Saccharomyces cerevisiae S288C: one gene and its partners. The gene in region 1 interacts genetically with each later gene. Each region holds a gene or a part of one and is shown on either strand. Other genes may lie near its edges.

Region 1 (3,760 bases):
GGTTACCAAAAAACCAAAGACCAAGCCAAAGGTTACTTTGGTTGTTGCCTCAGGTAGGAACAAAGGTTTGGCAGGTAGACCAAAGGGCGTTAAGGGTAAGTATAAGATGGTTGATGGTGTCATGAAGAATGAACAAAGAGCCCTAAGACGTATCGCAAAGAAGCATCACAAGAAAAAGTAGTAACAAAGAGCATTATTTTTCCATTCCCTTGTATAATATTGAAAATAAAGGAAAAGAAAGCAATAGATATATTATGTATACATAGAATTAATCAAATTATCATCAAAAAACTTATAGGAAACCTATCGTTTTGAATTCAGAAAATACGAGTGCACAGTAGAACAATTTTTATTCCCGTTTTACTGATCTTTTCTTCTTGTTGTTACCAAATACCTTGGAGAAAATGTATATGATGGAGATGAGTAAGCATAGTAACGTACCATTTTTGATCTTGGAATAATCCTTTGTGTCAGGCCTTGGAATTGGTACTAGAAGAGTTGTCGAGTTCAAATGGCGGAATGTAGTATCGTCTGTAAAGAGAGATTCATATCCTAGACCTTTTTTATAAAATGGATTACGGGAAACTTTATTGTCACCTGTGTCGCAGGCTAATATAACTTCTGGATCAAATGAAACTTCTAATTTATCCCCTTTATTATTAGAAGGCTCAATATATCTAGTATGCAATGTCACTTCATTCATTGTGCCGGCTTTCAATTCAAAGATACTTTCAGAACCCCATGCCTTATCTCGAAGAGAGTATTCTGGTAATTCTAAGTCGTCTTCTCCAAAAAGTAGTAAGGGAGAGGATTGGAATTTATCGATAAATAATTCTAACGGCAATTGCAGGTGCATTAGATACATGCATTTAGGGCGTTCTTCGAAATCTGTGAGATCAATCATGATTTTTGGATGCAAACCGATAGGTTCATTCAGATATAGTGATGTCGTAGTCGTCGAGTGATTGTATGCGATATGGCCCTGTTTATACAATAAGGATGTTTTCTGACATCTTTCCATTTTACCATCGTCCATCCTCCAATTACAACGTATTCCACCAATATCGACATCACTTTCATCACTTGCATCCACAAAGAATACACCTACTTCGAGTTTCTCATCTTTCACTCTTGCAATTGTAAATTCTTCACCCTGTTTCAACAGACGATATTCAACAATTTGGATTTGTGTGGGCTCCACTGATATATCATATGTAAAATCTTCTGGATTCCATGACAGATTCAAATCTACTTCGGGAGGCAAGTACTGCTCTATGTCAAACTTCTCACTGTGAAATGAATTGTAGACTGGGTTAGTAATAAACCTTTCCGGCACATCCGAAGAATTTGAGTAAACTGAAAAGCCAGCACTCAGTTCATTTTCTATAACGCTTAAACTTCTAGCCAAGTCCGCTCTGGGCCTCCAAGTGATTCTCGTAAAGGATTTATCCAAGCTTCCAGTCCTCTCTAATAGCCACCTTTGTTGTAAAACCACACCAGAACCTCCACGAACAGTCAAATGAGTGTCATTTTGGCGCATATGATTACCGATATCCTCAGGGGCATTGTAGAGTACAGTCACTCTATGTCTTGTCACCATTACTCAGCTAGAAACGCACACTTCTTGCGTTTATTCTCCTCCCGATTTGATTATGATTAGCGTTTCCATTATTTGATCTTTTTTATCAGGGGGATCTTCAAAGAAAGGAACTTTTTTTAGGAAAAAAAAAATAATCATCTTTTATTACATGTGTAATACTTCAAGCAATCATAAACAAGAGTTAAGAAGGCAAAGTTCTGCTGTTAGTGTGTCCTCCAATACTCTTGCACGACAAAGTTTTAGTTATCCCCTTCTACGTGTATTGTTCCTCCGTGGTCGATTGTGTTCAAAGATTGGGAGCTCTTTTCGTGTTTTGCACTAAGAGCATACTGTTAATCCGCAAAGGCCACTAAAACTTACCTGCATTTGTCTACTTAAAGATACATTCCAACTATTTACATTCATTTTTATTTCTAAAAGAGCATTCTGAACCCTCGGCAATTATTTCATACTCCTTCTCAGAATAGGAAAATGCCCAATACGCATACTCAACATGTGCAAATATCAGAGCCAAATCCTGTAAATACTTTGTCTACACCATCCAAAAGAGGTCACCGCCATCGCAGATCGCTAGCAATATCAGGAGATTTTGATTTTTTGAAACAGCCTGCAGCAATTGTGAATTTACCACCTCCACAGGCGGCTGAAAATTGTCCTTCAACTGCCCCAACTGCTGTATCAAGTACATTATCGCCAATACGCTACAATAGATTTCCTTGCAAAACCAATGAAGACGCTGGAACGTTAGATTTGCCTGAACCAAGATTTTATCCGTTATCACCAAAGAACAATCTGCAAACACCAAGTCCACGATTTTTCATTAGTGAAGAGCCAAGTTTTTCATCGCCAGTTAAAGGCGTCCCAGATGCCATTATTAACCTTGACGATGCGTTGAAGACAAGGCCTAGGTCATTTAAATCACATAGAAGATCTGAATCCGCTCCTCCTGATTTGGAGGTTATGGTAGATAAGGGCAATTGTGCAGCCGGTTCTAACTCTATGATTAAAGAAGAAGAGGACTCCTTAATTGAACCAGAATCGAAAAATGAATATTATGAGCAAAAGCTTCCAACAGCACTATTATCCCCACTGCGGCCTTCCCTTTGTGTATCTGAACAGGCCATTGATGTAGATGATTCAGCTCTCAATGGGTCACCGACCCATCACAACCATGGGATGCAAAACGCCAATGCACGGAATTCCAACACATTCAATTCGTTGAAGATCAAAGGCCAAAAGCAAAGATATTATCATTATACGAAGCAGCTACCTTTGACCGTAGGCTGTGACTCGCAATCTCCAAAAGAACAAAGGTCGGCTGCTTCAATGACAATCAATCAGGCAATGACACCTTCTTCCCTGGCCTATACCCCTTCTAAACTAGCATCTACTCCCGCAACACCAGTATCCTTTTATGACAGCAATGCGGACATTAACTTAGAAAGTGATAATTTTCCACTAAAAGATAACCCTAGATATGCCAAGGATGGTTATCCTAAAAAGTGCGGCAATTCACAGCTTAATCGTGTGCTGGATAGCGATAAAAGACAGGATTTTAGTGGAGAATCGAGAAGAAGAAGATCGGGCAGTCCTATCTCCCACATGCAACACCGCAACCTGATTGATAATATGAAAGGTAGACGAAACAGTAACACGATAAACTCAATCTTCAACTACAAGAGTCAACATTATGAAATGCCATATGATGATATGATGAAAAATGAAAACATTAATGCACAGTCCATGCCCTTTTCAGTCAACGGTGTCAACAATGAAAATAGTATCGGAGGGGTTATTACGAGAGCGGACGATGCACCCCTTCAACACTCTGTGGTCAAATCCTGTACGCCTGATGGCAAGGAAGAAATGAATAGGCTTAAAAGTAATGACAGTAATGAATATTCCAAGTCTGAAGGGCAGATCAGAACCAATTCGCAACTAAGTAAGGACATTCTCATGGGTGAACCAGGTGATATGGTTGATCTGTCCTCTTTTGTCAACGCGCAGAGAAAAGCCTCAAATGAAACTGGTGACTTAGTCTTTAGTTTATCCCAGGATGATGACGCACTGAAAACGTTCCATGCGAGCAACAGCGCAGCAACAAGCAATGAAAGCTGGTGTATTAGCGATGATGCGTTAGGAAAGCAGGCGCAGGACAGT
Region 2 (3,322 bases), on another chromosome or scaffold:
GCGAGCCTGATGAGAGAATCAGTGTGGACGCATTTCAGCGTATCTACAAGGATGATGAATTTCTAGCAAAACATATATTTCTTGATGTTAGGCCATCCCATCATTACGAGATATCTCATTTCCCTGAAGCAGTTAATATTCCAATCAAAAATCTAAGAGATATGAACGGTGATCTTAAGAAACTGCAAGAAAAACTTCCCAGTGTAGAAAAAGACAGTAATATAGTGATTCTTTGCCGCTACGGTAACGACTCTCAGCTAGCTACAAGATTATTGAAGGATAAATTTGGGTTTTCTAATGTACGAGACGTGAGAGGAGGATACTTCAAATACATAGACGATATTGATCAAACCATTCCTAAATATTAGTTGACCTATACATGTATAACGTGTATATGTAACTTTATTTTTTTTTATCCCTTTCCCTCCTTTCATTATTTCTTCTTGTCTGTCACTTATGCTCTATAACAGGAATGTTTTCGACACACTTGAGCAATTTATTCAGGCTGCATCCTGCAATTCTTTCAAGGCCGAAGCCAAATCCTTAATCAAATCATTAGCGGATTCACAGCCCACAGATACTCTTATTAAAGTTTGGTCGATATATGGGTCAGTCATTGCTCTCCATTCCACAAGGGATTCAATTCCACCCAGTGAGGTCGCATGATGGAAATATTTCAGCTTGAGGGGTAATTGTTTACACTGCTCTTTGGTGTACAAAGTGATAGCAAAAACGGGACCATATCCTCCTACCAGTTGCTTTTTAACGAACTCTTCTGTTTGTAAAGAAGAGTGGTAAATCGTCTTCAATACTTTGTCAAATTCAGATTGGTGATCTGACAAAAATCTAACTAATTTCGTAGCATTTTCTGATTGTTTGGTTATTCTCATTTCGTAGGTTCTCAGGGATCGCAACAACATGAAACTTTCCAAATTTGCCACGTTTGTACCCAAGTAGATTCTGTCGTCTTTTAGTTGTCGGGAAGTTGCTTCCTCTTTGACTACAAGGACGCCACTTAACAAGTCAGAATGACCACCAAAGTACTTAGTAGCAGAGTATAGGACAATATCGGCTCCGAAATTCCATGCGTATTGCAATGGAGGAGATGCGAATGTGGAATCCACTATAAGCAGGGCGCCTTTTGCATGAGCTCTGCGGGCCAAACTCTCGATATCAGAAGAGGTACCATATGGGTTTACAGGAGATTCCAGATGGACAATGTCACCTTCAGAAGCACATTTTTCAATATCTTCCAAGGGGTGTTGCTCAATGCCGTAATTACGGGTCAATATGTTAGCAATTGCTCGAACACCATGGTAGCTCTGTCCGATAAAGATCTTCTTAGGGTTGTAATGTACCATTGCCGCATAGAACGCAGCTAACCCTGAAGAATAAATGACAGCATAACCATCGAGGATCTCTGAGAAGATACTCTCTAATCTGGTGCTATTTGGATGCGCTAGCCGTGAATATACGGGCTTCTTCTCCATAAAGTCCAAGTTTTCACGCTCTGTCCATGGAATTAGGTCGTCATCGTCGTAACGGAAGGTTGTAGAGACATTAATTGGGGGCGCCACGTCAGTAACCCTGTTATCTTTATCATCGCCATGAATCAAAGCTGTTGACAAGTCCACCATCTTACGTACTCTTTTCGTGCAATCTTTCCTTTATAGCATGTACTACAACATTTGAAGAGATGGAGGGATTGCAACGATCTATTGTTGCGCAATATGCTTATATATCGCGTGTTGCATAAACCCATCAAGTGATCGCACTCTGAATTAAACACCGCAAAAAAATAGAAACCACAGTTTCACCATTTGACAAGAACTCACAAGATATCCTTGAGGTCTATCAGTAAGTGGTTAATCCCGTACCAAAGCGTATGTGAAGGACTTCAGAAACAGTTATTTCACGTACTACAATTATTACAACTGGCCCTCTTTCCCTTATATATACTGTAAATATTGCGACTGACATGGAGACCACATAATCACACGTGATAAATAGTCCCGTTCAACTTACGTATATAATGTGATTCAGTGTTCCGCCAAGGAGTAAACTCCTTTAGTTTAAGGTCTGCTTATTTTTGCAACAGAAGCCTGCCTTGGCTTTCGAGATACTAGTTTCTGGCTACGGTTTTCTATTCCTTATCATTTTAGCCTTATCATACTTGCTGAAAAGTTGCAGATATCTCCACGCTCTTAAATGAAAGAAAAAAGGGCGTTTTCCTCCTGTATGAATGAAAGAAAAAATTCATGTTATGTGAGCAAGTAGGTAAAAAGAAAGAATAAAAGGTTCAGCTTTTCTATGTTCAGGATACAACTGAGAACTATGTCCAGCAAAACATGCAAGAGTGATTACCCAAAGGAGTTTGTCAGTTTCTTAAATAGCTCACACTCTCCTTACCATACAGTTCATAACATCAAAAAGCATCTGGTGTCAAATGGCTTCAAAGAGTTGAGCGAACGTGACTCGTGGGCTGGCCACGTCGCACAAAAAGGAAAGTACTTTGTGACAAGAAATGGCTCTTCCATTATTGCGTTTGCTGTTGGTGGAAAGTGGGAGCCTGGTAATCCAATTGCCATTACGGGTGCTCACACCGACTCCCCCGCATTAAGGATTAAGCCTATTTCTAAAAGAGTCAGTGAGAAGTATTTACAAGTGGGCGTGGAAACTTATGGTGGCGCTATTTGGCATTCATGGTTTGATAAGGATTTGGGCGTTGCCGGAAGAGTTTTCGTAAAGGATGCGAAAACTGGCAAATCCATTGCTAGATTGGTGGATTTGAATAGACCTCTGTTAAAGATTCCTACTTTGGCTATTCATCTGGACAGAGACGTAAATCAAAAATTCGAGTTTAATAGAGAAACTCAACTGTTGCCGATTGGTGGTCTGCAAGAAGACAAAACTGAAGCGAAAACTGAAAAGGAAATTAATAACGGTGAGTTTACCTCCATAAAAACGATAGTACAGAGGCATCACGCAGAACTTTTGGGGCTAATAGCCAAAGAACTCGCCATTGATACAATTGAAGACATTGAAGACTTCGAATTGATCCTTTATGATCATAATGCATCCACTCTAGGTGGGTTCAACGATGAGTTTGTCTTCTCTGGTCGATTGGATAATTTGACATCTTGTTTCACATCAATGCACGGTTTAACGTTGGCGGCTGACACAGAAATTGACCGAGAATCAGGCATTAGATTGATGGCATGCTTTGATCATGAGGAGATTGGCTCATCCTCCGCCCAAGGGGCAGATTCTAACTTCTTGCCTAATATATTGGAAAGGTTGTCCATCCTGAAGGGGGACGGTT
Region 3 (3,455 bases), on another chromosome or scaffold:
AATGAATGTTACAGTTACTGTTTATGATAAAAATGTCAAGTACAGATTAGAAGAGAATATCAAAAATAACAAGGGTCCCAGCAACGATGATCAACCAGCATACAATAATGAATCAAAGAGCACGGACGGAAGTGATTATGCAATGTTTCCCACTAACATTAAGTACATATTTGAGGACAACAATGATGAACTAGTAGATTCAAGTGATGCTGCTTTGACAGCAGGAATAGATAAGGTCGGAGATGAACTTGAAAATGTCATAATTGTCCAATTGGATGAATCGGGATCTCTTGAGGATATCACACTAATCAGCGACCAATATGAGCTTTTGTCACATAGGACAAATAGTCTCAGCTTGGAGGAAAACCAAATGAGAACATTATCATCACATGGTGATGATAAATCTAATGATGAAGAGGAAGAACTTAGCGTTGACAGTGATAGATTCAGAGTGGACTCGGACATTGAGCTCGATGTAATTTCACAATTTTGCGATCTGTCTCCTTTTCTTCGCGATTTGAGTTTGAATGACTTAATTAAACTCTACGTCACACAAAATGAACAATTACAAATGCTCTCCAATTCCGTATGAAAGCAAAAATGAAGCCGCATGGATGAGACTCTCTTAACTTGTTTATGTAGGTATATGTTCTCTATATTTTATGATAATTCTGCAAAATTTGCTGGCATCGGATTTATTTTGATAGAATAGAATTTTTCAATTTCTCTAAGTTTTGCTAAATCAGCTTTGGTAATGAAGTTTATAGCCACACCCTTTCTACCAAATCGACCACTTCTACCGATACGATGGATGTAATTTTCTATTATTTCTGGTAGGTCATAGTTAATGACTAAAGAAACTTGTTGGACATCAATACCGCGCGCCCAAACATCCGTCGATATCAGTACACGAGAATGACCTGTTCTAAAATCATTCATTACTTTATCTCTTTCTTCTTGTTTCATATCACCATGCATGGAGACTACAGCAAAGTTTGATTGGATTAGCCGCTGAGATAACCAATCTACTTTTTTCTTGGTGTTACAGAATATCACACATTGTGTAATGGTCAAAGAATCGTATATATCACACAGAGTATCGAATTTCCACTCTTCTTTGTCAACATTAACGACATATTGTTTGATACCTTCAAGTGATATTTCATCCCTCTTCACTAGGATTTTAACTGGATCATTCATAAATTTTCTGGTTACTTCTAAAATGTCCTTATTCATTGTTGCGCTGACAACAACAACTTGGCAATTTTTAGGCAATTTTGCAAAAATATCGTATATTTGTTGCTTGAAACCTAGTGTCTCACTCAATAATTCATCAGCCTCATCTAAAACTAACATTTGAACATTTCTTGTTTGCAACATTTGTTTCTTAATCATGTCTAATACTCTTCCTGGTGTTCCGCTAACGGCCTGGCAACCATGCTTTTGCATTTTCTTCAGGTCGTCTTTCAAAGTTTTACCACCTGTAATGGCAAATGCATTGACATTCATATAATCCCCTAGATTTTTTACTACTTGCCCAATTTGGCTTGCTAATTCACGTGTTGGAGATAGTATTAGAGCTTGTAAATCTTTCTTCCTTAAATCAATAGCTTGTAAAAGGCCGATTGTAAAAGTTGCTGTCTTACCTGTACCTGATTGTGCTTGTGCTATAACGTCCTTGCCCGAAATAATCTGTGTAATAGCCCTTGATTGGATAGAGGATGGTGCTTCAAAACCGTATGAGTATATTCCTCGAAGTAAGTCATCTTTTAGATTCATGCTTTCAAAAGTAGAAGACACCTTTAATTTTTTCGATGTTTTAAACTTCAATTTTTGGTCTTCTTCTCTGTCAAACGACATGTCTAATGAGTTTTTTTTTTGTTTCTGTACGGTCTATTTTATTTGAGTGAACAAATTTTTATACCTCTTGAAGGAGTGGTGGCCCTTTTATATTAAAATTTGTGTATAATTCATGTTTTTATTTTGTCTGGGCCCTGCTATTATCTAGCTCATCGCATAAAATAAAATTTTCAAACTTCGGCATAAATTCTCGACACTGATAGAAAAAGCAGATCAAATAGTAAGCAACTATGGATTGTACGCTGCCATCACGGATAATTCAATTTATCTGTACATTTTTCCTAGAGCATACCACAAGGGAAATCGTTTTTAATTTTCGTTTCCTGCATTAACAATTAGCGAGATAAATATTACAGGAAATGGACAGAAAAGCTGTCGAAGAAAAAAGAATTGTTATTTCTATCGGTGGAGGGCATGCTACTGGTGTTGGAGCAATTGCACTGGATTTACAAAATACTTTCAAAAGCCTATATAACTCTATCAATATAAGGGTAATAAACCTAGATAATATGATAGAAGGGAACATCAAGAGCTACAATAATAACGACTATGATTTTGATAATATCCTTAATTTGGTATATGAAAAGCACGCTGTAACTTCTCAAAATGACATGATTCAACATGATTACGAGGACCCGATAGATTTGATAATAGTATGTGGCTGTTATGCGCTATACGATAAACGCATCAACGAAATATCTCAATTAAAAGTATTCTTGGATAGTGATGCAGATAAAAGATTAATTAGTCTAATCAAGAAGAAGAACGTAGGGAGCAATGAACAACTAGCCCAGTTGATCACTGAGTATATGGACCATCTGCGCCCGGAGATGCAACAATATATAGAGCCCACTAGAACTTTTGCAGATTTGATCATTCCTTCTACAAATGAAAATCTAGGGCGCGCAGTCCTCGTGGACGGTATAGTTAAAGCAATCGAAGATACCAAAAGCCAAATAGAAGGCAACAATACGAACAACAAAATACGCCCACGTTTATGGGATTTCGAAGCTGAAACAATGGACTTGGAGAAAGATAGATATTACGATCTGTCATGAGGTCCTTGCCTTCTATATCTGCGCCACTTTTAATCGGCTCGATGCGACTAACATCCGTATTTACCCACACAAGCTTATTGATTTTTTTTTTGCATTCTTGGATCTCGATGGGCGCTTTTACTCCATTAGAACCATGCTCACGGGAAGCTGAGTTCTTACTTAGAGCTGGTCATAGATATCACCTATTTTGTTCATCGCCGTGACTTCTTTCGGCAGGGCGACTCTGCTCAGGAGCCCTGACTCGTGTTGCCTCGAGTAAACGGTATGTCAAAAAGAATAGGTCCAAATATCATATATATAGCACCTTGAACCCAAACAAATCCAATTACAGTACCCGTAGCTCACATATGTAGAAAGAGCTTTGCCTGGCACAAGCAATAATGTCTATAATCAAAAAAATTGTGTTTAAGAGATTCAACTCAACTTTGAAAAAAACTGCTCTTCATGACCTTCATGTGTCATTAGGCGGTACAATGGTACCATACGCAGGATATTCCATGCCCGTACTATACAAGGGACAGACTCATATTGAATCAC

Evidence for each region.
Region 2: mutations in PBN1 (region 1) and YHR112C together harm fitness more than expected from each alone (negative genetic interaction), as found in Saccharomyces cerevisiae (one large-scale study listed by BioGRID).
Region 3: mutations in PBN1 (region 1) and FAL1 together harm fitness more than expected from each alone (negative genetic interaction), as found in Saccharomyces cerevisiae (one large-scale study listed by BioGRID).

Annotation. Positions count from the first base shown.
Region 1 is NC_001135.5:33,794-37,553, forward strand, and holds PBN1 (Pbn1p), read right to left. Parts: upstream 1,601-3,760; coding exon 350-1,600; downstream 1-349. Other genes in the region: SPB1 (27S pre-rRNA (guanosine2922-2'-O)-methyltransferase), read left to right, coding at 1-181; LRE1 (Lre1p), read left to right, coding at 2,072-3,760. UniProt on the Saccharomyces cerevisiae protein: Required for proper folding and/or the stability of a subset of proteins in the endoplasmic reticulum. Aids the autocatalytic processing of PRB1.
Region 2 is NC_001140.6:334,027-337,348, forward strand, and holds YHR112C (putative cystathionine beta-lyase), read right to left. Parts: upstream 1,638-3,322; coding exon 501-1,637; downstream 1-500. Other genes in the region: UBA4 (Uba4p), read left to right, coding at 1-368; APE4 (aspartyl aminopeptidase), read left to right, coding at 2,311-3,322.
Region 3 is NC_001136.10:485,209-488,663, reverse strand, and holds FAL1 (ATP-dependent RNA helicase FAL1), read right to left. Parts: upstream 1,861-3,455; coding exon 661-1,860; downstream 1-660. Other genes in the region: ATG31 (Atg31p), read left to right, coding at 2-592; putative uridine kinase DAS2, read left to right, coding at 2,220-2,918; GCV1 (glycine decarboxylase subunit T), read left to right, coding at 3,299-3,455. UniProt on the Saccharomyces cerevisiae protein: ATP-dependent RNA helicase involved in 40S ribosomal subunit biogenesis. Required for the processing and cleavage of 35S pre-rRNA at sites A0, A1, and A2, leading to mature 18S rRNA.